Anolis sagrei: one gene and its partners. The protein of the gene in region 3 interacts with the protein of the main gene of each other region in a pairwise test. Links are inferred from orthologs where the notes say so. Each region holds a gene or a part of one and is shown on either strand. Other genes may lie near its edges.

Region 1 (9,813 bases), on a different chromosome or scaffold from region 3:
TCTGAAAAAATGCTTGCATTTTAAATCAGTCCTAAAGGATGCATACATTTATATATTACCAGCTTTTCATTTAATATGTGCATAAGTAAAGAAAATCGTTTTTCTACTTGCATACATCAAAAAAGAAAAAGAAATGTATTCATTTTTACAGCTAAGCAACACTAAAATGCTTTTTTATTTTTTTAAAAAGTCTTTTTTATAAGATGCCGATGAATTGGAAGAAATTGTTAAATATTTATTTTGCCTCTTAAGAGTCATAAATGTTACACACCTATTTAAAAATAAGCTCCATGCTTCTATATAAATTAGACCTATTTGGGAACAATCTACATGACAACAGTTTGTTTAGTCCACACAGATTGCTGAAATTCTTTGTTTTCTTTGTTAAGTACTATTAATAACAGTTTAATGTTGCTAAGGCAATTTCAGAGTTGCAGGCTCCTTTGCTTTTGTTGCTTAAATTAAAATGAGGACCGTATCACCACCTAGCTATTTTACCCAAATGGAAATATACAATAATTTTAAATACTGAAAATGAAGCTCTTATTTTTCCTGCAAACCATGAGGAAAACACTAATTAACAGTAATTACCAGTAACAAATCTATAATTCATTCTTCCCCAGCAAACTACAACCCTGAATTATAAGTTTGGTTCACATGACACATTCACAGTCATCTGCCAACTTCACTGTAGTTCAGATATCTTTCTTAATCTTACCCATTTTAGCTACCTACCTTATATTGTACAGTGTAAGAGGAAGTTGCAAAGAATCAAAATCCTTTTTTTAAAAAAATAAACATTTGGGGGGAAAGTCTCAATCAGCATTCCTGGCTAAAATGTTATCCAAGACTGTGTACTCGTTTGCCGGCAAGATTTCCTTAACTTTCTGTAATCCTCAACGAAATTCTCCAGGGTTATGGGAAGAGAGCTCCTATGCCACATCACATTTTCAGCTAAGTCTGATCAGAAATGAAATTATCTACAGGTCAAAATGTCAAAACCACTTTCTCTTCAAATAAGTAAACACAAAAAAAAGCCCTGCAAGTCTACAAATCCCAACAAGTTCAGTAATACAGAAAAACGGATCTTACTCATCCTATGTCTCTGCCTCAAAGGAAAACCTTCTGTTGTGCATGAACCACAAAGCTATTATATATAAAGGGTGCCATGGTGAAGCCATGGTGCATGCACCGGTCTGAGGGACTACAAAAGCTCTCTGAACACACCAGGAAGATTGAATATCAATTTGCTAGAACTGGTCTTTCAACAACACAAATGGAACACAGTGCATCGTCACTCATTTTGCCATTTTAAATGTTTTGTCCTTCCCTAATTCTTCGTCTCTTTATATTACCAGCATTTCTCACTGCATATATGACTGGGGGGAAACAAAGGCATCTCAGCAGATACAGATAAACTGCAATTTTAAGAATGGAAGATGAATTAAAATTATATTTAGCTACAACACAGGGATACATTGCAAGGTTTGAGATTGTGTATATGATCGGTATCATAGTCCAGATTAATCCCCAATATAAAACAGGCTACAGGAATTATTTTGCCTTCCCTATCTCCTATTTCAACAACCCAGAAACCCCATATTTACTAACCCAAGTTCTACAATTCTCTGAGCTTTGAAAGATGTATGGGCAAATATAATGCAAAGATAACAGAAATGCAGATGGGTATCAAGAAACAGATGCAGCTTCATGATAGCCACTTGAAGCATGATCATTCAGTTTTTAGCTACATCCTAGTTCTCCCTTAGTGAGCATGGAAGGCAAGTCATAATAATGTCAATATTTGAAGCATATCTTCCTCCAATCCAACACCATGCCATTCTCCTTGCAGTTTTTTTCACTTGTGCTCTATGGAATTGTACCAACATGCAACATGCTAAAGAAACTGCAAACCAAGTACTAACATCATCTTTAACTACATCATCTCTACTTGTGCTAAAGAAAACTGGGTGCGAAAGATGCTGTCTAAAATACAAAACATAAATACAAAGCTTTCCTTCAGATATCTACTCAAATACTAAAGTATTTTCAGCCCACAATATATTATTCTCATAGGAGACTGTTTTGCTGCTGAAACACAGTAAAAGCCACAACTCATCTAGCCACAAAGTCAGGTCTAAGGATCATTCCACACAATATATTATTCTCATAGGAGACTGTTTTTCTGCTGAAACACAGTAAAAGCCTCAACCCATCTAGCCATAAAGTCAGGTCTAAGGGCCCTTCCACACAGCTGAATAAAATCCCATAATATCTGCTTTGAACTTGAATATATGGCAATGTGGACTCGAGATAACCCAGTTCGAAGCAGATATTGTGGGATTTTCTGCCTTGATATTCTGGGTTATATGGCTGTGTGGAAGGGCCCACGGCCATATAAACCAGAATATCAAGGCAGATAACCCACAATATCTGCTTTGAACTGGGTTATCTGAGGCCCCTTCCACACAGCTGTGTAAAATCCACATTGAACTGGATTATATGGCAGTGTGGACTCAGATAATCCAGTTCAAAGCAGATATTGGCCCCTTCCACACAGCTGAATAAAATCCCACATTTTCTACTTTGAACTGGAATATATGGCAGTGTGGACTCAGATTACTCAGTCCAAAGCAAACATTGTGGGATTTTCTGCCTTGATATTCTGGGTTATATGGCTGTGCGGAAGGGCCCTGAGTCCACATTGCCATAAAATCCAGTTCAATGTGATTTTATACAGCTGTGTGGAAGGGGCCTCAGATAGCCAAACAAGAGTAGGAGACTTTAACCTAAAGTGTGGTTTGACATCACCTCCCAATCAGACCAGTATTTAATTACAAAAAAGGCAGTGTTTGGTACTTTGGGAATCTGAATTATTTATTCAACTGGTATTCCAATCGGGACCACAACAGGAGAGAGGAAAAGCCCACTCTTCATGCCAATCGTCTCTTGACAAATAAGATACAGGTTGAACACGTCTTAAACCAAACCCCAAAATTTGAATACCGGTAATCCAAAATTGTCCACATCCGTGAGTGAGATAATGACACCTTCAGTTCGTTGATTGAGTCTCCACAATCTTTATTTTGTGCATAACATTATGTAAAATATGATCCATATGTTTACCTTTGGGGCTGTGTGTACAAGGTGCATAAGAAACATAAATGTGACGGGTCCCATCCTAAAGATACCTCATGAAGTGGGATATGCAAATACAGGTATATATGGATCCGAGCTCCAGATCTTCACACAGTCAAATGTACTATCCTATCTGCACACACATCCAAATGCAGACAGTGAGAAAAAGCCTCTGGGAGCAACCAGAATGAGAAGGATTGCCCTGTGTCACCCCATGAGCCCCAATGCACAAGTATTCGCCCACTTTAACCCTTGCATCAGGCTGCCCCAAAGCAGCTGCGACTTGAGACATATACTGAATTGTAAAGAAAGGGGAGGGGGGAGGTCTGTTCTGGGGCCCTTCCACACAGCCATATAACTCAGAATATCAAGGCAGAAAATCCCACCATATCTGCTTTGAACTGGGTTATCTGAGTCCACACTGCCATATATTCCAGTTCAGAGCAGAAAACGTGGGGTTTTTTATTCAGCTGTGTGGAAGGGGCCTTGGACATTAAAGCGTGCGCATCCCCCAGACAGACACCCCAGCCAGGCCTCAAGAGTGCGCTAAATGGTTCTGAGGGAAGGGAAGGAGGCACAGATGTATCTCATGAGGAGGATGGAGAGATGAGACGCACGCGCGCACACACACACACCTTCGTTTCCCTTCACGCTGGCTATTTGGGGAGGGGGGGTTAATGGGGAAAGGGTTTTAACGGGCGGAGGGCCCGCCCCCGCCCCACAGCAAGAGGCAGCGGCCCGTACCTGGATGTAGTTGCTCTCGCAGTACTCGGCGACCCGCTCGAGGTTGGTATAGCTATCGAAGAGGGCCCGGCGCCCTCCCGGGATCTCCTCCTCCAGCAGCATCTGCAGCTCCGCCATCTTCACATCCTCGCGCGCGCGCGCCCGCTCGGCCCCGCCCCTTTTTTCCTCCCTCGCGCTCGGCTCTTCACCCGCCCCCCTTCCGAGCGCGCGCTTGCCCTCCCTCCCTCTCTTCCTTCCTTGGCGACCAACTGCTGCCGCCTCCTTTGCCTCGCGCTCCTTCCTCGCGCTCTCCTCCTCCCTCCCAAGCGTTGCTGTGACGTCCTCCTCCTCCCCTCCTCTCTCTTTCTCTCTCCCTGAGAGGGACAGTCCGCGGCGCGAGGGACCAACAGCGTCGGCTGCGCATGCGCTGAAGACCTCCGCGCGAGCTCCTGCTTGGCTCTGCTACACTGAGGCCAGGAGGGACCCAAGAAGAGGAAGTCGTCTTCCACGCCTTTCTCCCTCACTCTCTCTCCTTGCTTCTCAGGATGCTCTCCGTGTCACACACAGGCGGGAGTGGGCATGGCATCCCCCGCACAGCTGAGGCAGAAAGAACCTTCTGCCTTGGTCGCTTAAGCATAGGCTGAGACATTCGTGCTTCACTTCACAAGGCCTCTGGCCACGAAGAGGCATTAGCCCACTCCAGTCTACAGAAGCAGAGCTCCTTTTCCCCTCCTCGTCCTCAGGCCAGCAGGACATCTTAGACAGCATCACCATTGGAAGGAGGGCGGGAGAAAAGACTTTGCATCATCATATTTAATTACTTAATAATCACCCAAGATGCTCTAGGCCAGGGGTCCTCAGACTTTTTAAACAGAGAGCCAGGTCACAGTCCCTCAAACTGTTGGAGGGCTGGATTATAATCTGAAAACAAAAAAGGAATGAATCCTATGCACACTGCACATATCTTATTTGTAGTGCAAAAAAACACTTAAAAACAATACAATAATTAAAATGAACAATTTTAACAAATATAAACTAATTATTTTACCTCCTCCAAGATGAACTGAACCACCTCAACTGGGCTCTCCAGGCCAATGGATATTCCACCTCAGACATCAGAAGAGCTGCAAGACCAAGAACAAGCCACAAGAGTCAAGATGAAGATCCACCCAGAGGAAAAGTGTTCCTGCCATACATCAAGGGAACCACTGACCGCATAGGGAAGCTGATGAGGAAACACAACATACAAACAATCTACAAACCCACCAAGAAAATCCAACAAATGCTACGTTCAGCAAGGACAAGAGGGATCCTCTCACCTCTGCAGGAGTCTACCGTATACCATGCAGCTGTGGACAAGTCTACATAGGGACCACCAAACGCAGCATTGCCCAAACAAGAATCCAGGAACATGAAAGGCACTGCAGACTACTTCAACCAGAGAAGTCAGCCATAGCAGAGCACCTGATGAACCAACCTGGACACAGCATATTATTTGAGAACACAGAAATGCTGGACCACTCCAACAACCACCATGTCAGACTACACAGAGAAGCCATTGAAATCCACAAGCATGTGGACAATTTCAACAGAAAGGAGGAGACCATGAAAATGAACAAAATCTGGCTACCAGCATTAAAAAAACTCTAAAATTACTACAGCAAAACAGCAGAGAGGAAACAACCAGGCACATCTTAACACCTCTCAACAGAACATTTTCCCAGGCTCAGCCAAGCCTTCAAATGCTAATGAAGGTGGTCAGCTGAAACATTCACACCTAGCTTCAGCAGAGAGCTCTTTGTCCCACCCTGGTCATTCCACAGATATATAAACCCATTTTCCTATTTCCAACAGACCTCACTACCTCTGAGGATGCTTGCCATAGATGCAGGCAAAACATCAGGAGAAATGCCTCTAGAACATGGCCCTATAGCCCGAAAAAACCTACAAGAACCTAACAATAGAATTGGTCCAAACTTGGCACACAGTTCTCCAGAAACTAGGACATGAACCTATGGATTCAAATTACAAGAGAGAAATATTCCACCTAAACCTTTCTGGTAAGGAGTGTGATCCCAACTGGTGGAAGGAAATGAAGGACAAAGGTCACTATAGTAGTCAAGATATCTGAAATGATGTCCCAGTAAAGACAGAGGAAGTTTTTCTTAGGCTCTCCAGAGACTAGGACATGAACCTATGGATTCAAATTACAAGAGAGATAAATATTCCACCTAAATGTTAGGAAAACCTTTCTGGTAAGGAGTGTGATACCAACTGGTGGAAGGAAATGAAGGACAAAGGTCATTATAGTAATCAAGGTTCATCTATATAAATAAAAATGTAATGTTCGTTTGTAGGATTAACAGAACTCAAAAGCCACTGGACGAATTGACACCAAATTTGGACACAATACAATGTAGGCCCTTCACTCAAAAAATTGATTTTGTCATTTGGGAGTTGTAGTTGCTGGGATTTATAGTTCACCTATAATAAAAAAGCATTCTGAACCCCACCAATGATGGAATTGGTCCAAACTTGGCACACAGTTCTCCCATGACCAACAGAAAATACTGTAAGGGTTTGGTGGATAGTGTCCTTTGGTTTTAGAGGTGTAGTTCGCCTACATCCAGAGAGCACTGTGGACTCAAACAATGATGGATCTGGACCAAACTCTACACGAATACTCAATATGCCCAAATGTGAACACTGGTGGAGTTTGGGGAAAATAGAATTTTGACATTTGGGAGTTGTAGTTGCTGGGATTTGTAGTTCATCTACAATCACAGAGCAATCTGAACCCACCAATGACAGAATTGGGCCAAACCTCCCACACAACCCCCATGACCACCAGAGTGGGCCACAGCAACGCGTAGCAGGGGACGGTTAGTAATAATAATAATAATAATAATAATAATAATAATAAACTTTATTGATACCCCGCCACCATCTCCCTGTTGGGGACTCGGAGCGGCTTACATGGGGCCAAGCCGAACAAGAATTACAATATAATAATACAAATTGCAATAAAATAAACAACATAACATTAAAATAAAACATCAAAGCATATAAAACAATATACACAGAACATACAAACTAAACATAATAACAAAATGATATGTACATAAAATGATTTTAAAAACCCCGGGTGAGATAAGGGGGCAGAACTAATTGTAAGGGACAACTCAGAGAGAGATAGGAAAATAAGCAAACCTTCATACATGGGGGGGACTCCTGGGACAAGAATGTTGGGGAGTACTAGTTCTGTGTGGGAGGTTTGGCCCAATTCTATCGTTGGTGGGGTTCAGAATGCTCTGTGATTGTAGGTGAACTATAAATCCCAGCAACTACAACTCCCAAATGTCAAGAGTCTATTTTCCCCAAACTCTACCAGTGTTCACATTTGGGCATATTGAGTATTCGTGTAGAATTTGGTCCAGATCCATCATTGTTTGAGTCCACAGTGATCTCTGGATGTAGGTGAACTACAACTCCAACACCAAAGGACACTGCCCACCAAACCGTTCCTTTTTTCTGTTGGTCATGGGAGAACTGTGTGCCAAGTTTGGTTCAATTCCATCACACACACACATATATATATATGTACACACAAACTCCACCTGCCTGACCACCAACAGACCTCTGAAGATGCCAGTCACAGATGCAGGCAAAACATCAGGAGAGAATGCTACTGTAACATGGCCATACTAATTGTTTCCGTCATAAGAACATGGAAAAAAATATTAAACTGCAAAAACATTTTCCTTCCTCTATTTTTTTTTTTTTTTTTTTGCAGGACATAGTTAGTTAACTTGTGGCCTGCAGCCACATCACAAAAAAATCAGTGAAACAAATGAATCATGTGTTTTAACATTTTCACAATTAGCGCTTCATTATTTATAACACGAAAATAATAGCCTGTTTTAATATTATAAATTCTTTATTTGTTAATATTTATAACGTAATTGCGTTTTCATTGCTGTTCTTGTTCTTGAATTATGTTGCCAACTGCTTTGGTTGCAGTGCTAGGAAAAAGGCAAGATATAAATCAAATAAATGAAAACCCACTATTATAAACACTACAGGGGAATGGGGGAGCATAAGTTCTATGTCACCTCCTCTAAAAATGGCTCAGTAGATTAAGCTGAAATCTGGTGGTTTAGAAAGGTTGTTTTTTGCTTTGAGGAATGCTTGCGCCAAGTTGAAATGGGTTTGAATGGCATTTTCATAAGGGGGTTTAAACATTGAGTGAGTGATGCCTCCAGAGATTTAACAAGCCTTTTCCTTGTAGATTTTGTTATGTAGCTAATTTGACTGTTGGAATTTGACTCTAGAGACCAGTTTGACTCCCCATTCAGCCATGGAAACTCACTGGGGAACCTTGGGCAAGTCACACTCTCTTGGCACCAGAAAACTCTATCGTAGAGTTACCTTAAGATTGCCATTACCTAGAAAGACATGAAGGCACACAACAATATTTTTCATATGATTTGTATTTCTTAATTTCAGAAATGTACTAGGTCAGAGGAAGATCTGGTGGATTTGAACCAAGGAGTCTTAATCCAGCTTTCAAATCACTACACCACACTGATTCTCTGATACCTGAAGGTGATGGTAATTGTCACCATGTCACATTCATCATCATAAGGAGACCCCTACCTCCATGTTTCTTGACATCAACTCTCCTGCTCATGTCTTCTAATCTCACGGCCATGGCTTCTTTGAATGAGGCTGAATATGCACTGTAGATTTAATGCAGTTTGGCACCACTTTAACTACCATGACTCAGTGTTATGGAACCTTAAGAGTTGTAGGTTCAGAAGATCTTTAGCCTCCTCTTCCAAAGAATATGAGCCTCCTTCTATACTGCCATATAATCCGGATTATCAAAACAGATAATCCACATTATTTTCTTTGAACTGGATTTTATGAGTCTACACTGCCCGGTCAAGGCATATAATCTGGATTTTATATGGTAGTGTAGAAAGGGCCTGAGTGTCTCACCAAAATGCAACACAAATTACGAGCCATAGCAGTTAGAGTGATGCCAAATTAATTCTACAGTGTAGATAAATGTAGGAACGGTCAACCCCCAGCTCCACTGGCTGCCGATAAGTTTCCAGTCCCAATTCAAGGTGCAGGTTGTTACCTAAGAAGCTCTAAACGGTCCAGGACCTGCCTATCTACCCCTCTGTTTAAGGCGCTCCACTGGCTGCCATTTATTTTCCGAGCCCAATTCAAGGTGCAGGTGCTCACCTACAAAGCCCTGAACGGTTTGGGACCACCCTACCTGTGTGACCGCATCTCCATCTACGAATCCACACGCTCACTCCGATCATCTGGGGAGGCCCTGCTCGTGATCCCGCCCTCGTCGCAAGCGCGCTTGGTGGGGACACGGGACAGGGCCTTCTCTGTGGCGGTCCCCCGACTTTGGAATGCCCTTCCAAAAGATCTCTGACAGGCCCCTACCTTAGCAGTTTTCAGAAGGAACCTAAAAACCTGGCTGTTCCGATGTGCCTTCTCAGATTAGGAATCCCCATCCCAAGTCCTAGAAGCACTTTAGCACAACCGATGTTACTGCACACAGCACTTTTACTCCTACGTTCCTCCTACCATTTCAGCATTTTAACCCTGTACCCCATTGCACCGGCCGAACCAGTTTTAATAGTGTCTTGATGTAGTTATTGTTGTTATTTTGCTTAATTGTTTTGATTTGCTTGTTTATTATTGTGTTATGTTTTATTGTATTGTGTTTGAGGCTTCGGCCTGTGTAAGCCGCATCGAGTCCTGCAGGAGATGCTAGCGGGGTACAAATAAAGTTAATAAATAAATAAATAAATAAATATCTGTGCAACCGCCTCCTCCCCTATGAGCCCACGCGATCCTTAAGATCGTCCGGGGATGCCCTTCTCTCGCTCCCGCCCCCGTCTCAGGCGCGATTGGTGGAGACAAGGG
Region 2 (9,375 bases), on a different chromosome or scaffold from region 3:
ACCTGGGAGTCACTCTGGACCGTGCTCTGACCTACAAGAAGCACTGCCTGAACATCAAGCAAAACGTGGGTGCTAGAAACAATATCATACAAAAGCTGACTGGCACAACCTGGGGATCACAACCAGACACAGTGAAGACATTTGCCCTTGCGCTATGCTACTCTGCTGCTGAGTACGCATGCCCAGTGTGGAACACATCTCACCACGCTAAAACAGTAGATGTGGCTCTTAATGAGACATGCTGCATTATCACGGGGTGTCTGCGCCCTACACCACTGGAGAAATTACACTGCTTAGCCGGTATTGCACCACCTGACATCCGCCGGGAAGTAGCAGCCAATAGTGAAAGGACCAAGGCAGAGACATCTCTAGCTCATCCCCTGTTTGGGTATCAGCCAGCACGTCAATGACTTAAATCAAGAAATAGTTTTCTAAGATCTACAGAGACACTCGCTGGAACACCTCAGCAAGCGAGAGTCCAAAAGTGGCAGGCTCAAGGTGCCCTTACTGCCTATTACAGTGAAAACCAGCTAATTCCTAATCCATCTAAAATGCAGACGTGTGCTTTCATCTTATGAACATACAAGCATCTCGAGCTCTGAGGATGACCTGGGAAGGAATCTCACTGGAGTATTGCAGCATGCCAAAATACCTTGGAGCTACTCCAGTGTTTCTCAACCTTCCTAATGCCGCGAACCCTTAATCCAGTTCCTCATGTTATGGTGATCCCCAACCATAATATGATTTTCGTTGCTACTTCAGAACTGCAATTTTGCTACTGTTTTGAATCAAAATGTAAATATCTGATATGCTGGATGTATTTTCATTCACTGGACTACATTTGGTACAAACACCCAATACGCCCAAATCTGAATACTGGTGGAACTGGGTATTTTGTCATTTGGGAGTTGAAGTTGCTGGGATTTATACAGTTCACATACAATCAAAAAGCATTCCAAATTCCACCAACGATTGAATTGAACCAAACTTGCCACAGTTTGGTTCTGTGTGCCAAGTTTGGTTCATTTCCACCGTTGGTGGGGTTCAGAATGCTCTTTGATTGTAGGTGAACTATAAATCCCAGCAACTACAACTCCCAAATGACAAAATCAATTTTTTGAGTGAAGGACATACATTGGGTTGTTAGGTGTCTTGTGTCCAAATTTGGTGGCAATTCCTCCGGTGGTTTTTGAGTTCTGTGAATACCACAAACGAACATTACATTTTTATTTATATAGATTGTATTGATGTGTTCTGTTATATTGTTTTATATTGTTGCTGGGCTTGGCCTCATGTAAGCTGCCCCAAGTCCCTGTGGGAAGATGGTGGTGGGGTCATAGAAATATAATAATAATAACATAGAATAATATAAATAATAAATATATAATAATAATACATTTATTTATTTATATACCGCTTTTCTCAGCCCTTAGGTGACTCAAAGTGGTTAACAGCAGCAAAATTCAATGCTAAACATTACAAAACAATTAAATTAAAACAATAGCATAACAACAATTAAACATCAATATAACAAATCAATCGCGTCCCATCACTAGAATCAGAATCCAATCTCATTGTCCGTTATTCCACGTTCCTATATTCAATTACACTGCTTAATTGAATGCTTGTTCAAACAACCAGGTCTTCACTTTCCTCCGAAATGCCAATAAGGAGGGGTCCGATCTTATATCTGTAGGAAGGGCGTTCCACAGCCGAGGGGCCACCACTGAGAAGGCCCTCACTCTTATCCCACCAGGCGTGCCTGTGATGCAGGCGGGACTGAGAGCAGGACCTCCCCAGATGATCTTAATGTCCTAGTTGGTTCATAGGAGGAGATGCGTTCGGACAGGTAAAATAATAATAATAATAATAATAATAATAGAATAATAATAGAATCTATATAAATAAAAATGTAGTGCTAGTTTGCGGGACGAACATAACTCAAAAACCACTGGACGAATTGACACCAAATTTGGACACAAGACACCGATCAGGCCAACGAGTGACCATCACTCATAAAAATACTGGAGAACACAGCAGAAGAGACTTAAATAAAGCTTTATTATAAAGCCAAATCCGAGACCACTCCTGCTAGCTCAGATAAGGAGACTGTTGTGCAGCGGGGTGGTCGGTACACTAACAGAATCCCTATCCTGTCCCGGTCACCTATCCTAAAGCCGGCACACTCAAAGGAAGATGACTGTGGGATGGGGCACCTGATCAGGGGGATAAAATCCTTATAGACCACTGCGACTCCACCTCCCCTCCCTCCAGGCCTTGGTTGGTGCTGCACAGAGTCTTAAATAAAGCTTTATTATTATTATTATTATTATTATTATTAATATTTACTCTCTTGACCTTTCACCCGCATCTATAGCAGGCATCCTCAGAGGTTGTGAGGTCTGTTGGAAACTAGGACAAAGTGGGCGACTAAAATGATCAAGGGTCTGGAGAACACACCCTATGAGGAGCGGCTTAAGGGCATGTTTAGCCTGAAGAAGAGAAGGCTGAGAGGAGATATGATAGCCATGTATAAATATGTGAGAGGAAGCCACAGGGAGGAGGGAGCAAGCTTGTTTTCTGCTTCCCTGGAGAGTAGGACGCGAAACAATGGCTTCAAACTACAAGAGAGGAGATTCCATCTGAACATGAGGAAGAACTTCCTGACTGTGAGAGCCGTTCAGCAGTGGAAATACTCAAGGCGCAATTGCAAACTGTGCCAACAAAGAGAAAAAATAGGACAAGTGCAAAGAAGCCAGAATGGATGTCCAAAGAACTTCTAACTGCAACAGCAAAAACAGCAGAGAGGAAACAGGCAGGGACATCTAATTACCTTTCGAGAAGAGTTTGCTCCAGGCATAGTCAGCCCATTGTATGCTAATCAAGGTGGTCAGTTGAAATATTCACACCTAGCCCAACTGACAAAAGTCCTTTGTCTCACCCTGGTTATTCCACAGATATATAAACCCTTTCCCCCAGTTCCAACAGACCTCACCTCTGAGGATGCTTGCCATAGATGCAGGCGAAACGTCAGGAGAAATGCCTCTAGAACATGGCCATATAGCCCGAAGAAACCCACAAGAACTTAACTTCTAACTGTGCTAAAACACAAAAGAGACATGCACAAGAAGTGGAAAAAGGGAGAAATCACCAAAGAAGAATTCAAACAAATAGCCAACACCTGTAGGGAACTCTCTGCCTCGGAGTGTGGTGGAGGCTCCTTCTTTGGAGGCTTTTTAAACAGAGGCTGGATGGCCATCTGTCTGGGGTGATTTGAATGCAATATTCCTGCTTCTTGGCAGAATGGGGTTGGACTGGATGACCCAGGAGGTCTCTTCCAACTCTTTGATTCTATGATATATCTGTGAAACCCCCTTTTCCTAGTTCCCAACAGACCTCACAACCTCTGAGAATGCCTGCCATAGATATGGGTGAAACGTCAGGGGAGAGTGCTTCTGGAACAGGGCCAGACAGCCGAGAAAATTCACAACAACCATGAAAAACTTCAACAACACATTGGATAGAATGTTTCAATAGATCTGTTTGGGGGAAACAATATATCTCTCTAATGGATAGATGTTGCTCCTTTTTTATATTTTGTATCCCACAGAAGAACAAGGGGAACTCTCCGCCAAGTTCCTGGGAAAGTGGAGGAAGTTCCTTCCCCCCCCCCCCCCCCCCACTCTGGATCTCGCGTGGTTTGCATGCAAAGAGAGGTCCAGGAGAGGGACAAAGGGAGGTTGGAAAGGGCGGAAACAGTTCCCAGGGGGGTGGAAAGCAAGCCCCCTTCCAAGCCCCCCCCCTCTCAATCCCTACCTTTTGGGGTCCTTCCAAGGCAGAGAGAGAAGGCTTCGAAGGTCAAGGAGAAGGGAGGGTCCATTTCTGAGTCCAGGGGGGAGGAAGGAAGGGAGGGAAGGGAAGGGAGGAAGAGGCAACTGAAGAGGAGGAAGAGGAGGAGGAGAAAGAGGAAGAGGAGGGGAGGAGGAAGAGGAGGAGGAGGAGCCCGCCTAGACCCCCCCCCTCTGCTTCTTGATTTCCCTTCACGCCCCTTGAAAGGGCGCCAGGAAAGGAGGGAAAGGAAGGAAGAAGAGAAAGAGGAGGAGGAAGAAGAGGGGGGTCCTGCCTTGCCTCCCTCTACTGTTTCCCTTCTCTTTGTCCCTCTTGAGCTCAGCCAGGAAGGAAGTGAAGAAGAGGAGGAGGAGGAAGAAGAAGAAGTGGAGGAGGAGGAGGAAGTGGAGGAGGAGGAGGATCCTGCCTTGCTTCTCTCTGCTTCTTCCCTTCTCTTTGCTTCCCTTGAACTCAGCCAGGGAGAGAAGGAAGAGAAGGAGGAGGAAGAAGAGGGGGATCCTGCCTTGCCTCCCTCTACTGTTTCCCTTCTCTTTGTCCCTCTTGAGCTCAGCCAGGAAGGAAGTGAAGAAGAGGAGGAGGAGGAAGAAGAAGAAGTGGAGGAGGAGGAGGAAGTGGAGGAGGAGGAGGATCCTGCCTTGCTTCTCTCTGCTTCTTCCCTTCTCTTTGCTTCCCTTGAACTCAGCCAGGGAGAGAAGGAAGAGAAGGAGGAGGAAGAAGAGGGGGATCCTGCCTTGCCTCCCTCTACTGTTTCCCTTCTCTTTGTCCCTCTTGAGTTCAGCCAGGAAAGAAGTGAAGAAGAAGAGGAGGAGGAAGAAGTGGAGGAGGAGGTTGCTTCTCTCTGCTTCTTCTCTTCTCTTTGCTTCCCTTGAACTCAGCCAGGAAAGAAGTGAAGAGGAGGAGGAGGAGGAGGAGGAAGTGGAGGAGGAGAATCCTGCCTTGCTTCCCTCTTCTTCTTCTTTTCCCTTTGCTTCCCTTCGCCAGGAAAGAAGAGAAGGAGGAGGAGGATCCTGCCTTGCTTCCTTCTTCCCTTTCCTTTGCTTCCCTAGAGCTCAGCCAGAAAACAGGAAAAGAAGGGAGGAAAAGAAGGAGGAGAAAGAGGAGGAGGAACCCAATTTGCTTCCCTCTGCTTCTTCTTTTCCCTTTGCTTCTCTTCGCCAGGAAAGAAGAGAAGGAGGAAGAGGATCCTGCCTTGCTTCCCTCTGCTTCTTCCCTTCTCTTTGCTTCCCTTGAAGAGAAGGAGGAGGAAGAAGAGGGGGATCCTGCCTTGCCTCCCTCTACTGTTTCCCTTCTCTTTGTTCCTCTCGTGCTCAGCCAGGAAAGAAGTGAAGAAGAAGTGGAGGAGGAGGATCCTGTCTTGCTTCCCCCTGCTTCTTCCCTTCCCTTTCCTTCCCTTGAACTCAGCCAGGAAAGAAGTGAAGAAGAGGAGGAGGAGGAAGAAGTGGAGGAGGAGGATCCTGCCTTGCTTCCCTCTGCTTCTTCTTTTCTCTTTGCTTCCCTTGAGCTCAGCCAGGAAAAGAGGGAGAGAAGGGAGGAAGAGGAGGAGAAGAGGAGGAGGTTCCCGCCTTGCTCCTTCTTCCCTTTCTTTGCTTCTCTTGAACTCAGCCAGAAGAGAGGGAGAGAAGGGAGGAAGAGGAGGAGGAAGAGAAGGATCCTGTCTTGCCTGTCTCTACTGTTTCCCTTCTCTTTGTCCCTCTTGAGTTCAGCCAGGGAAGAAATGAAGAAGAGGAGGAGGAAGAAGAAGTGGGGGTGGAGGAGGAGGAGGAGGAGGAGGAAGTGGTGGAGGAGGATCCTGCTTTGCCTGTCTCTACTTTTTCCCTTCTCTTTGTCTCTCTTGAGTTCAGCCAGGAAAGAAGTGAAGAAGAAGAGGAGGAAGAAGTGGTGGTGGTGGAGGAGGAGGAAGAGGAAGTGGAGGAGGAGGATCCTGCCTTGCTTCCCTCTGCTTCTTCCCTTCTCTTTGCTTCCCTTGAACTCAACCAGGGAGAGAAGGAAGAGAAGGAGGAGGAGTATCCTGCCTTGCTTCTTTCTTCCCTTTCCTTTGCTTCCCTAGAGCTCAGCCAGAAAAGAGGGAAAGAAGGGAGGAAGAAGAGGAGGAGGAAGAAGAAGAAGTGGAGGAGGAGGATCCTGCCTTGCTTCCCTCTGCTTCTTCCCTTCTCTTTGCTTCCCTTGAACACAACCAGGGAGAGAAGGAGGAGGAAGAGGAGGAGGATCCTGCCTTGCTTCCTTCTTCCCTTTTCTTTGCTTCCCTAGAGATCAGCAAGAAAAGAGGGAAAGAAGGGAGGAAGAGAAGGAGGAGGAACCCAACTTGCTTCCCTCTGCTTCTTCTTTTCCCTTTGCTTCCCTTCACCAGGAAAGAAGAGAAGGAGAAGGAGGATCCTGCCTTGCTTCCCTCTGCTTCTTCCCTTCTCTTTGCTTCTCTTAAGCTCAGCCAGGAAAAGAGAGAAAGAAGGGAGGAAAAGGAGGAGGAACCCACCTTGCTTCCCTCTATGCAGATACCCTCACTGATTGACTTTGCAGCTGCAAGGTGATTCAGTGCTCTTCAAACTGAGTAATTACAACATTCACACTTGATTCAAACAGACAAGGGTTCTTTCTTCCACCCTGGACATCATTCCGCAGAGGGTTTCTCTGGGCAACAACATCCAGGCCACCTTTATGCAGATACCCTCACTGATTGACTTTGCAGCTGCAAGGCGATTCAATGCTATTCAAACTGACTAATTACAACATTCACACTTGATTCAAACAGACAAGGGTTCTTTCTCCCACCCTGGACATCATTCAACAGAGGGTTCCTCCGGGCCAGAACAGCCAGCCTACCTCTATGCATATACCCTCACTGGTTGACTTTGCAGCTGCAAGGCGATTGAGTGCTATTCAAACTGACTAATTACAAAATTCACACTTGATTCAAACAGATAAGGGTTTTTTCTCCCACCCTGGACATCATTCCACAGAGAGTTCCTCCAGGCAACAACATCCAGCCCACCTCTATGCAGATACCCTCACTGATTGACTTTTTCGCTGCAAGGCTACTCAATGCTTTTCCAACTGACTAATTACAAAATTCACACTTGATTCAAACAGACAAGGGTTCTTTCTCCCACCCTGGACATCATTCCACAGAGAGTTCCTCTGGGCAACAACAGCTAGCCTACATCTCTGCAGATACCCTCACTGATTGACTTTGCAGCTGCAAGGCGATTGGGTTTTAAAGTTGTGAGTTGCCTTGGATCTCAACCGTGGGGGGAAAAAGTGGGGGCATTGCTATTGTTATGGCATTGAGCCGTTGTCGTTGTTGTTTTGGGTTCACCGAGAGTCTGCTGAAATTGCCGTGGTTATAATCATAATAATTATGAAAAAATATGAAAAATGTGGTGAAAATGCTCTTGTCGCCCTCTCGTGGTGCTTTGTTGCTATTGCAGATGTAGGTGGAAGGCATTGAGGGTCACCCTCAGGTGGCAAGTGACTCCTAGTTAAGAACGGGGATGGAATGGGCAGGAAAGGGTTAAATGAGAGGTAGTGGGTGGGGTTGTGCAAATTGGGAGAGAGAAAGGAACCCTGGGATGTCAATTCTGGAGAGAGAAAGAACAGGACATCTAGGATGAAATGGTCCCTGAATGAAAGTGGTTGTAGGTCTTTCGGGCTATATGGCTATGGTCTAGAGGCATTCTCTCCTGACGTTTCGCCTGCATCTATGGCAAGCATCCTCAGAGGTAGTGAGGTCTGTTGGAAGTAGGAAAATGGGTTTATATATCTGTGGAATGACCGGGGTGGGACAAAGGACTCTTGTCTGCTGGAGCTAGGTGTGAATGTTTCAGCTGACCACCTTCATTAGCATTTGATGGCCTGACAGTGCCTGGGGAAAAAGGGAATGAAAGGGAAGGGAAGGAAAGGAGGAAGGAAGGAAGGAAGGAATTAAAGAAGGGAGGAAGAAAAGAGGGAGGGAAGGAAGGAATGAGAGAAAGAAAGAGGGAAGGAAAGGAGGAAGGAAGGAAGGAAAGGATTCAAAAAGGAAAGGAGGAAAGAAGGAAGGAAGGAGAGAAAGAAAGAAAGAAAAAGGAAAGGAAAGGAGGAATTAAAAAAGGAAGGGAGGGAGGAAAGAAGGAAGGAAGGAAGAAAAGAAAAGAGGGAGGAAAGGAAGGAATGAGAGAATGAAAGAAAGGGAGGGAAGGAAGGAAGGAGAGAAAGAAGGAAGGAAGGAAGAAAAGAGAGAGGGAAGGAAGGAATGAGAGGAAAGAAAGGGAAGGAAGGAAGGAAAGGAAAGGAAGGAATTAAAAAAGGGAGGGAGGAAAGAAGGAAGGAAGGAAGAGAGAGGGAAGGAAGGAATGAGAGGAAAGAAAGGGAAGGAGAGAAAGAAGGAAGGAAGGAAAGGAAGGAAGAAAAGAGAGAGGGAAGGAAGGAATGAGAGAAAGAAAGAAAAGAAAGAAAGAGGGAAGGAAGGAATTAAAAAGGGAGGGAGGAAAGAAGGAAGGAAGGAAGGAATGAAAGAAGAGAAAAGAAGGAAAGAAAAAGGAAGGAAGGAAAGAAAGAAAAAGGAAAGGAAAGGAGGAATTAAAAAAGGAAGGGAGGGAGGAAAGAAGGAAAGAAAGCCTGGCAGTGCCTGGAGCAATCTTCTGTTGAGAGGTGATTAGATGTCCTTGTTTTTTTCCTCTCTGTTGTTGTGCTGTTGCAATTTTAGATTTTTTTAATACTGGTAGCCAGATTTTGTTCCTTTTCATGGTCTCCTCCTTTCTGTTGAAATTGTCCACCTGCTTCTTGTGGATGTCAATGGCTTCTCTGTGTAGTCTGACATGGTGGTTGTGAGAGTGGTCCAGCATTTCTGTGTTCTCCAATAATATGCTGTGTCCTTTTGTAAGAGCTTGAAGACCTGGTGGTTTCAACAAGCCTTTGAAAATGACCAGCTCTTACACATTTATCATTTATTTATATTTATTTATTTATTTAGAGCTTTGATAACCCGGTCTTCTCAACCTCCGAAGAGGGACTCAGGCCGGCTAACAGCAGGAAATTCAAACACAAGTAGGATAAACATAATAGCATCGTAATGCATCATTACATAAAATACATTAAAATACAGATCATACAATTACAAAAAGCCAGGTCGTCAAAGTAAAATCACAAATTCATCACTATCCGCCTTTAGTGTGGTCAGCAGTTATTGACTCGATCATCATTCTGCAAATGCAGTAACCCAAAGGCATGATATTACCAGCTTTCTGAAAGTCAGGAGGGGAGGGGCAGTTCTAATCTCCATCGGGAGGGAGTTCCAGAGCCGAGGGGCCACCACCGAGAAAGCCCTGTCCATCATCCCCACCAAACGCGATTGCGAGGGTGGTGAGACCAAGAGCAGGGCCCCTCCAGAAGATCTTAACAACCTTGATGGTTCGTAGGGGAGAATCCGTTCGGACAGGTAAACTGGGCCGGAGTCGTTTAGGGCTTTATAGGTCAAGACCAGAACTTTGAATTGTGCTCAGAAGCTAATTGGCAGCCAGTGGAGCTGACGCAACAGAGGAGTAGTATGCTCCC
Region 3 (10,336 bases):
AACTGTCCTGTGACACTATTTACCGTTGATAAGAATGGTGAAAGTAACATATAACGGTAATCAATAATAATATCTAAATCATACTCAGAAAAACAAGCAGAAAGATGGCCAAACAAGTGAATGACATGAGTGAAAGTACTACTAGGTTATAGGGAGGATAGAGATTTTTTTTTCTTTCTAGTTTTTCTACTGCAGAACATGCTGCAGTTATGTATGCCTAAAACACTTTCCCCTCGGGAGTAGATTAAATCAAACAGCTGTAAAAACTCAATAAGTGATGACATTCTAGTTTTAAATGGCAAATTAACAACTCAAAAGTAAATATGTCCAAATTTAACTAAGCCGGGGGGGGGGGGGCTCTGTACACCTCTTCATGACTCTCATATTAATGTACTTTAAAATATTGAGAAGATAGTAAAATGACAGGACTACATACCCTACCTTGTTCCCTCAGAGCAGGCATGACAAAACCTTTTACTGATTAAAAATTAGTTGAACAAAATAAAGGGTCAAAAGCAGGGGTCCTCAATTTTTTGAAGCAGAGGGCCTCCAGACTACTGGTGGGCCAGACTACAGTTTGGGGAAAAAACATGGAGGAATTCTAATGCACATTGCACATATCTTATTTGTAGTGCTAAAAACATTAAAGAATACAATCTTTTAAATGAAGAACAATGTTAACCAACATAAACTTACCAGTGTTTTTGGTTGATGAGATAGTCAAATTAATTATGATTGTTGTTGTGCACCTTCAAGTCATTTTAGATTTAGGGTGACCCCACATCTGAAGTTTAGAGAGGGGGCCAGGTAAATGATCTTGGAGGGCTGCATCCGGCCTACAGTTTGGGAACCCATGGCCTAGAGCAGTGGTTCTCAATCTGGGGTCCCCATATGTTTTTGGCCTACAACTCCCAGAAATCCCAGCCAGTTTAGCAGCTGTTAAGATTTCTGGGAGTTGAAGGCCAAAAATATCTGGGAACCCCAGGTTGAGAACCACTGGCCTAGAGTTTGAGGTAAACAGGCATGGAGGCAAAATACTTATAGGATACTATAAACTCAATCAGTGTGGAGACCTCCGAAAGGATCTCTCCACATTGGTGAATAGACAAGAAAATAGCAAGTAAGTTCTAATGTATGTGTAACCACATGTCATGGCAATAACACTCCACACCCCCTGCCTTCTCTGTTATATACACACAAATCACAGCAAATACATTATGTAACACAAGAATGGTGAAGCCATGGCCTTTCCCAAGTTTAGGCCTACAGTTCCAATCAGTCTACATAGTCAACTGTAAGGAACAGTGGAAGATGCGGGGAGCTATGTGAGTTGCTGCAAAAAATTTACACACTTAAAAGGTTATAATTAGAGGTAATATGAGAAAGGGCAACCCTAGAGTTTGGAAGTCCCTGCTTAAGGAGGTCAGGATGGCCATCTCCTTGCTGTTGTGCTTTCATCAGCAGGCAAAGCTTTTTCTATTCCAATAGGCTTTTAGAACTGAAGGTTTCAAAAAAAAAAAAAAGGACTTTACTGTCTGTATTGCTTTGAATTGCATTAACTATTAAAATCATTTTAGAGTGTATGTTTTTAACATGATTAATAGTTTCACTTGGTTTTAATGATAACTTTTTATGTATTTAATTATAAATGTTTTAATGTGTAAGCATAAATCTTGGTCTTGGAAAAAGGAAGGATAGAAGTAAAGTGACTGTGCTTTTTCTGAATGGCAAGGAGTTGGACCGGATGGCCCCTGTGGTCCCTTCCAACTCTTATGATTCTATGATTCAGAAGAAGAGTGTCAAGATGCATTTTCTGTTTGTCATAACATCAGAGTGTGGCAAGTGATTTTTACATGCTATAGATTATACTACAAAAAAACACATTACAAGCAGATATTAGAAACGTCTTCCAGCCTGGAGTCCAAATTCAAATACAAAAAGTGTTTCTAGTGATTAGTGGATACAAAGGATGGGATCAAAATATCAGCATATTTTATCAAAGAATTATAAAAGACACTTTAGCATATAGAATGCAAAAGAGGGCATGATGTAATACAGGAGACATGACCATCTGAGGGAGGTGAGGACAGAAATTTCTGTCTGGTCCCAGGTGTGAGCTTTACCACTTCTGGCTTAGGAAATTTACTTTCACAACACATGGTGATGGTCCCTGCCCAACTGCTTTAAAGGAAACTTAACCTAACTGACAGATGAGAGATTTGTAAGATGCTATTAGTCATAATGGCCAAGTACAGCGTGAGTGTTTAAAGACAGCATGCTATCAAGAACTAATTTCTTGGTTGGGATGTTGCCATCAAATCCTACTGATGAGCTGAATGGGCTGCCCATGTAATTACTGTTCAAAAGAAAAAGGCTTGCCATTAGCATGTAGGAGTCTTTAAATGTATTGGAATCCAAACACTTCATCACACTAGAGAAAAAATCCACTTAAAATCTGGTTTCTGCCTCCTGCAGAATTCTGGGGTTTGTAGTTTAGTGAGGCTTCTCCCTAAACTGCATACCCCAGAATTCTGGAGGCAGAAACCAGATTTTAAGTGGATTTTTCTCTAGTGTGATGAGGCCAAATACCAGCAGCTATAATCAGTCTGGGCAATAATATGTATTCCAAAACAGCTGCAAATCCCCTGGATAAAGAAAACTAAATGTGGTCCAATAGGCTCTGATAAGAATTTTAGCTCATAGATCAACCCAAAAAGCTTCATTCATAAACAATTTAAAGGGATTTAGATAAAGTGCAAAGTTAAAATCTACATACATCTGCTGTTATAATAAGAGCAACCTCTAAAAATGTCCTTTGTGAAAGGCCTGGATCTTTGGGGGCAGGGGGCTCCTTATGAGCAAGTGACATGAAGTTCTTCTCTTCATTCAAGGCAAACACCAATAAAAAAAATAAAATGAGAACACTTAATTATCAGTTCACTTTTATTATATAAAAACAGTGTCCACAAAGACAGCAAGGACAGCTGTAAGTAAAGAAAGAGGTGCTAGGAATGGCTGAGAGTGCAGAGGGTTGTACATTGCCCTGGCCTTTCACAATTCAGGGAGGAACGAAGAGAATAAAGGCTGAGAGATGTAAGTTGCCTTACCCAAAATGAAAGGGACCAAAAGTGTTTTGGATTTCAGAATGGAATACTTGCACATACATGAGATGTCATGGAGATGGAACCCAAGTCTAAACTCGAAATTCATAGATGTTCCATATACCCCTTCTACACATAGTCTGGAGCTCATTTTTATACAATCTACTTTTTAATAATGTTGTGTATGCAATAATGCAACGAAGTTTTGTGTTCATTGAACCATCAGCAAAGGCATCACTATCTCAGCCACCAACGTGGACATTTTTGGGATTTGGTATATTTCAGAATTGCCAATAAGGGGGACTCAGCCTGTATAAGAAAATACAAAATGAGAATGGAGAGAAAGAGCCCCCAGAAACACCACTCTTTGCTATGGGGTTTGGCTTATCTCTGAGGAGCCACAGATAGTAACCCTCCTTTCCCCGTCATAGCTTTCCCCTACATTCTTGCAGAGGGGGGGAAACCCTTCTTTGTAATCCCTGTTGATTTAATTAACTGATTTTTCCCCTTCGACACTCTCTCGGGGGGAAGGCCGCCACGCAGGCCCCTCAATCTAAGTCACTAGGAAGGCTGCTCCCTTCCGACATTCCTTCTTCCCGAGGCCGGACTTTCACGCACAGACACCCTCCCAGGACGCCCCCACAGCTCGGTGCCCACCCACCCACGCTCCCGCCCGCTTCCCAGTCCACGGCGGTACCGGAGCTGCGGCTCATGCGCTTCTCCCAGCCCGCGGGGAGCTTCTCCTCCTCCGCCATCTTCCCTCCTCTCACAGCACCAAGCGCAGAGGCGGCCACGCCCACTTCTCCTGGCAACGACCCCGCACGCGCACAATGGCTCCGGCGGCCTCTCTCACGATTGGCCAACTGGGTGAAGACGTCGCGCTCCTATTGGCTAGAGCTAGAGACCGCGCGAGAGAGGGTACTTGGCTGCCTTGGCACGCCAAAGGTGAGACGACGGAGGCTGCGAAGGGACAAAAAAGGCCAGACGCGAAGCAAAGCGCTCACATTTAGCTTTTGGAAAGCTATACAGAGCCCCGTCGCGTATGGATTGGAAGGATAGGCGTCGTGGTTACTCAAGTCACCACGTCGAAGCGTACCACCGCACTGCAGATGTACACCAATGGCCTCCAGAACCGGGAATAAGACAAACTCTCTGCTGATCGAAATATTGGCACCAGTCGTATTAGTTCTGGCTCGGAAATGCGCATTTGAAACGTTACTGCAAACCAATCCCAGTGCCTTCTTGGGCGGAGGCAATTCGGAAATGCAGTAGGCCCCTTGGTTTGGCTCAAGTCCCATTGCACACAGTAGCGTCGTAAAATGTCCCCTGTCTGCAGATAATATAGGGTGCTGCTGCTGGTTTGCTTTTTAAGCACTTATGTGTGTGTGTGGAGGTGGTTTTAAAAATCTAAGAAATTATATATTTTTCAAAAAGGAATTCGACAATAAACAATCAGGGCCAGCTAATCACCTCCCAACAAAGTATTCCTCCAGGCAGGAAGAGGCCAAGCCTTGAAGCTGCAAGGCTTTTCGATGCTAATCAAGGTGGCTAATTGCAGCAATCACATATGCCTCAAATAGACAAGTTTTTTTTCCCTATATATCTGTGGTGCATATGTATTCCGCAGATATATAAACCCCATTTACCTAGTTCCCAACAGACCTCAAAACTGAGAATGCCTGCCATAGATGTGGGTGAAACGTCAGGATGCTTCTGGAAAATGGCCATACAGGCTGGAAAACTCACAGCAACCCAGTGATTTCCAAAGCCTTTGACAACACGTTTTCAGTTGTTTGTTTATAATCAGTTGTTTGTTTATAATCCTACCACAGCTTTCCAAACATTTCATGTTGGTGACTCACTTTTAGGCATGGCCCTCATTTTGCAACACAGGCTGTATAAAATCAACATTGAACTGGATTATATGTCAGTGTGGACTCAGGTAATCTAGTTTAAAGCAGATATTGTGGATTATCTGCATTGATGTTCTGAGTTACCAAAATGTGGTTGTGTGGAAAGGCCCACAGTAATAGAGAAGGAGCCCCCAGAAACACCGCTGTTTGCTATGGGGTTTGGCTTATCTCTGAGGAGGAGCCACAGATAGTAACCCTCCTTTCCCCGTCATAGCTTCCATCTACATTCCTGCAGAGAGGGGGGAAAAACCCTTCTTTCTAATCCCTGCCAGTGACTCTCAACCTGTGGGTCCCCAGATGTTTTGGCCTTCAACTCCCACAAATCCTAACATCTGGTAAAACTGGCTGGGATGTCTGGGAGTTGAAGGCCAAAACACCTGGGGACCCACTGATTCGGGCCCAGAAAGGGAGTCCCTCTTGCCTTTCGCCACTCCTTCGGGGGGGGGGGGGGAAGAGGCCGCCGCCGCGCAGGCCCCTCAATCTAAGTCACAATGAAAGCGACTCCCTTCCGGCCTTCCTTCTTCCCGAGGCCGGACCTTCACGCACAGACACCCTCCCGGGACGCCCCCACAGCTCGGTGCCCGCCCACGCCCGCTTCCCAGTCCACGGCGGTACCGGAGCTGCGGCTCATGCGCTTCTCCCAGCCCGCGGGGAGCTTCTCCTCCTCCGCCATCTTCCCTCCTCTCACAGCACCAAGCGCAGAGGAGGCCACGCCCACTTCTCCTGGCAACGACGCCGCACGCGCACAATGGCTCCGGCGGCCTCTCCCACGATTGGCCAACTGGGTGAAGACGTCGCGCTCCTATTGGCTAGAGCTAGAGACTGTTGTATGAGGGAAAACAGCCTCCGCCCTCATGGTGTGGCATGGCTCTCCAGGGGAGCAGCATGGCTCGCTCGGGTCTTCCTCTTCTGTCATTTACACACACACACACACAAAAGGATACACAAGGGGAAGCTTTTCCCAGCAAAACGTATGTCTCGGTAACCCTCCCTGACCGGGATTAGAACGAGAAACTTTTGTTTCAAAGGCGGGAGCCCAGCCAGTGGGCTATTTTGCCACTTTTGACTTGTATGGGAGAATAGGAGTCTTTATCTTCTTTATGGAGGGGGGGGGAGTGCTTTTCCTCCTTTTTCCTGGGATCTCTGGACTCCAATCTTTTCATTTTCCCCCAAGAGTGTTCCTTGCCCCCCTCCTTAATCTCCCTCAGACTCCCCACTCTAAAGAGCCTGGCTAATGTGTGTACTTGAGGAAACTATGCCTCCTGTGCACACCAGGTCCTCCAAACCTCTGTGTTTTGTCTTTATGTGTTCCTTTTGCCTTCATATTATATTATAGAAAATGTATTATGTTCAGATGCTCCTTGGACCTTCCCTCCCCCTCATGAATGTCTTTTGTTTAATCACAAGTCCTGTGCTCCTTTTGAGTTAATAGCCTACGGAGATGATACTGTGCTGGGATGTCTTCAGGCGTTCCTAGCCTTGCCTACATTTATGGACTCATCTAGACAAAGGCAACACAATAAAGGTTCCTGGGCAGGACTATGGGTCTTCTGATTAGAATCATAAGAGTTGGAAGAGACCTCATGGGCCATCTAGTCCAGCCCCCTGCCAAGAAGCGGGAATACTGCATCCAAAGCACCCCTGACAGATGGCCATCCAGCCTCTGTTTAAAAACCTCCAAAGAAGGAGCCTCCACCACACTCCAGGGCAGAGAGTTCCACTACTGAACGGCTCTCAGTCAGGAAGTTCTTCCTCATGTTCAGACGGAATCTCCTTTCTTGTAGTTTGAAGCCATTGTTCCGCGTCCTAGTCTCCAGGGAAGCAGAAAACAAGCTTGCTCCCTCCTCCCTGTGGCTTCCTCTCACATATTTATACATGGCTATCATATCTCCTCTCAGCCTTCTCTTCTTCAGGCTAAACAAGCCGCTCCTCATAGGGCTTGTTTTCCAGACCCTTGATTATTTTAGTCGCCCTCCTCTGGACAAACTCCCTGCTGATCAAAATATTGGCACCAGTCGTATTAGTTCTGGCTCGGAATTGCGCATTTGAAACATTACTGCAAACCAATCCCAGTGCCTTCTTGGGTGGAGCCAATTTAGAAATGCAGTAGGCCCCTTGGTTTGGCTCAAATCCCATTGCACACAGTGGCATCGTAAAAAGATGTCCCCTGTCTGCAGATAATATAGGGTGATGGTGCTGGTTTGCTTTTTAATCAATTATGTGTGTGTAGGTGGTTTTAAAAATTTAAGAAATTATATATTTTTAAAAACGGGAATTCAGACAATAAATAATCAGGGCCAGCTAATCACCTCCCAACAAAATATTCCCCCAGGCAGGAAGCGGCCAAGCCTTGAAGCTGCAAGGCTTTTGATGCTAATCAAGGTGGCCAATTGCAGCATTCACACTTGCCTCAAATAGACAAGAGTTTTTTTTCTATATATCTGTGGTTTATATATATTCCACAGATATATAAACCCCACTTGTCTAGTTCCCAACAGGCCTCAAAATTCTGAAGATGCCTGCCATAGATGTGGGTGAAACGTCAGGAGAGGATGCTTCTGGAACATGGCCATACAACCTGGAAAACTCAGTCTCCCGTCCCAGGTTTAAATACGTACATTTCATGTTCCTACCTGCCTAGAGAGAAACTAGGACAGTGCAATTCTGAGTCAGTTCAAAAGCCCCGAAAATCATGGTGTGGTTTTTAGCCAGGTATTCTGAGCAGCAGTTTATCCATCTCTAAACGCTTAAAGAAATGAGGAAAAGAAGGAATTTTGTCCATTTCAAGACACCCCATCCTTCTGAACTCTAGCCCAGGGAAGGGAACTGTGTTACTTTCTAAATGTTACTGAATTGCAGTTCCCAACAGCCTAGAATAGCCAATGGTTAGGAGTGCTGGAAGTCCAAAAGTATGTACCTAGGAAACTACATTATTTCTATCCCTTCTTTAGGCAATCTGTGCACTTCCCCCTCCCAGAGATATACGAGTATGCCCTCCATTTTCACGGTTAGGTACAGAAGAGTCCCATAAATGTGGGGAAAATTTTTATTTTACCTGAGACAACACCTTTTGGTTATCCAGGACAACCTCCACAAGAGGTTGACCATAGGATCATGCTGAAGGACCTATTAATTCCTAGGGAACACATTAAATGAATCTACAAATAATCAAATCCACCAAAGTTAAACCAGCAATTATGGAATGCAGATTGAATTCATGCACTGTTTTGCTATCATGGCTAATGGCTGTTAAAATCTGCTCTTTATTTAGAACTTTGGCTATAGAGCCAGTAATTTATGACAGAATGATGCTTACAGGCTAGATGAATTATTGTCTGCTCTGGTTGGCAATGGCACAGAAGGATTATTCCCAATTCATTTAACAGAACAAATACTGTGTGTAGCAGTAATTTCTATTGTTATTCCAGATAACAAGCACTATTGTGAATTTACATTGGCAGTGATTAAGAACTTTCACTAAACCAGTAACAAGGCAGTAGTGAGAAGCCTTTATCCCTTAGAGATTTTGTTCTCCAACTCCTAACCATGCCAGTGTGGTAAAAGGGAATGTAGGCCAAAACATCTGAAAATCAAAGATTTCCCAACCTTATAATGAAGGCAACTTTTGTAAACCAAAAAATCAGGCCCTCCCAGTTGTATTCAAATGTTGTACATGTGGTAAGTAGTTGTGACTATATCAATTTGTAAATAATTAAGCTAACAAGAGGGGATTGTGGGATGGTACGCTCTTTGGATAGAATGATAAAGCTGTGCTACATTATTCTCACTATTTTTATTTATTTTTTTGGTCGTGTCAGGAGCGACTTGAGAGACTGCAAGTTGCTTCTGGTGTGAGAGAATTGGCCGTCTGCAAGGACGTTGCCCAGGGGACGCCCAGATTATTTGATGTTTTTTACCATCCTTGTGGGAGGCTTCTCTCATGTCCCTGCATGAGGAGCTGGAGCTGATAGAGGGAGCTCATCTGCCTCTCTCCAGATTCGAACCTGCAACCTGTCGGTCTTCAGCCCTACCGGCACAAAGGTTTAACCCACTGCGCCACCGGGGGCTCCTATTCTCACTATAACTTCCACAAATAACATGGTTAAAAATGCCTCAAAGACCACATCTAACACATGTTGTTATATCACATTTATTATAAACATTTGTATTTTTAAAAAACACACAGTTTGAGAAGATATCTTCTAGTTTATTGCCATAAGGGATAAAAATATTACTAGCCACAATTCATGCAACTAAACAAGCCATTGACACTTTCAATGAAATTAGAAATGAAGAAAAAAGAAAAGAGACCATGACAGATATGAAATCTTCCACAACCAAATTACTGATAGTATAGTTCTAGGTTCATGCCATCATGGATTTCATCTGAAAGTAAAAAGTTAAGGTGAATTCCCACAGGAAAACATTCAGGTCTAGTAAGTGAGCTTAATGTGTAAATCTAGAAAAGTCTACGATACTACCAAAATGGCATTTCCTTTGGAAACATCACAGATGCTGATCCTCATATTTTCAAACTGCCAGAAGCCATACACAGACCTACAAATTAACACTTTATCAGGAAACAACACACCAGATGTTGACATGAAATTTCACCAGTCTTCATTTTAGCTATACTAACCAAGGCTGCTGGGAATTTCAACACTAGATAGATACCAGTTGGCTGCTCCTGTTTTAAATACTGAGCAATATATAGTAAAAGGCAGAGACAGAGCCATTTCACATATTATCATCTCAGCCTTTACATTAAACTTTAATGGAAAACGTAATATATAAACATAGGACTTTTTATAAACTCAAGCACATTACACAAATCTGAAAAATGAAGCAGAGATATCAGCAAGCCTACATCTAGAACCCCTTTTCTTCTTTTGTAAGGCCAGCAAACTTTTCCATCAACCCAATATTTCTCAAATGGTGCTCCTCCAGATGTTTTGCACTTTAGCTCCCACAATTCCTAACAGCTAGTAAACTGGCTGGGATTTCTGGGAGTTGAAGTCCAAAACACCTGGAGGAGCACAGTTTGAGAAACACTGCATTAACCTATAGGCATGGTTAGGCAATCCTAATCTGCTATAGAAATCAAACATTTAACACTGCATGTTGTTACTAACAGATTTGTGTAAATGTTTCAAAGAGCCACTAGGTGGCAAAACCTTTACTGTTGCCAATTTTTGTGACCCCAACATTGAATTAAAAGGGTCTCATTTGAGGTCAGGACCCCCAGTTTAAGAAGTAGTGATATAAACTGTGACTTTTAAATAAGATTTTAAGACTAAGCCAGGGCATGTTGTGAAGTGTTTT

The links.
Region 1: the proteins of PIN1 (region 3) and ABI2 interact in binary tests that used the Homo sapiens proteins (3 or more experiments, as listed by UniProt). The link is inferred for Anolis sagrei from reciprocal best matches to the Homo sapiens genes PIN1 and ABI2.
Region 2: the proteins of PIN1 (region 3) and AMOT interact in binary tests that used the Homo sapiens proteins (3 or more experiments, as listed by UniProt). The two-hybrid records come from large-scale screens. The link is inferred for Anolis sagrei from reciprocal best matches to the Homo sapiens genes PIN1 and AMOT.

What each region holds. Positions count from the first base shown.
Region 1 is NC_090021.1:165,825,583-165,835,395, reverse strand, and holds the start of ABI2 (abl interactor 2), read right to left. Parts: upstream 4,052-9,813; 5' UTR 4,000-4,051; coding exon 3,883-3,999; intron 1-3,882. UniProt on the Homo sapiens protein: Regulator of actin cytoskeleton dynamics underlying cell motility and adhesion. Functions as a component of the WAVE complex, which activates actin nucleating machinery Arp2/3 to drive lamellipodia formation.
Region 2 is NC_090030.1:33,525,152-33,534,526, forward strand, and holds the start of AMOT (angiomotin), read right to left. Parts: upstream 4,052-9,375; 5' UTR 3,817-4,051; intron 1-3,816.
Region 3 is NC_090022.1:147,604,807-147,615,142, reverse strand, and holds the start of PIN1 (peptidyl-prolyl cis-trans isomerase NIMA-interacting 1), read right to left. Parts: upstream 3,915-10,336; 5' UTR 3,857-3,914; coding exon 3,799-3,856; intron 1-3,798. Other genes in the region: UBL5 (ubiquitin-like protein 5), read right to left, coding at 9,357-9,400. UniProt on the Homo sapiens protein: Peptidyl-prolyl cis/trans isomerase (PPIase) that binds to and isomerizes specific phosphorylated Ser/Thr-Pro (pSer/Thr-Pro) motifs.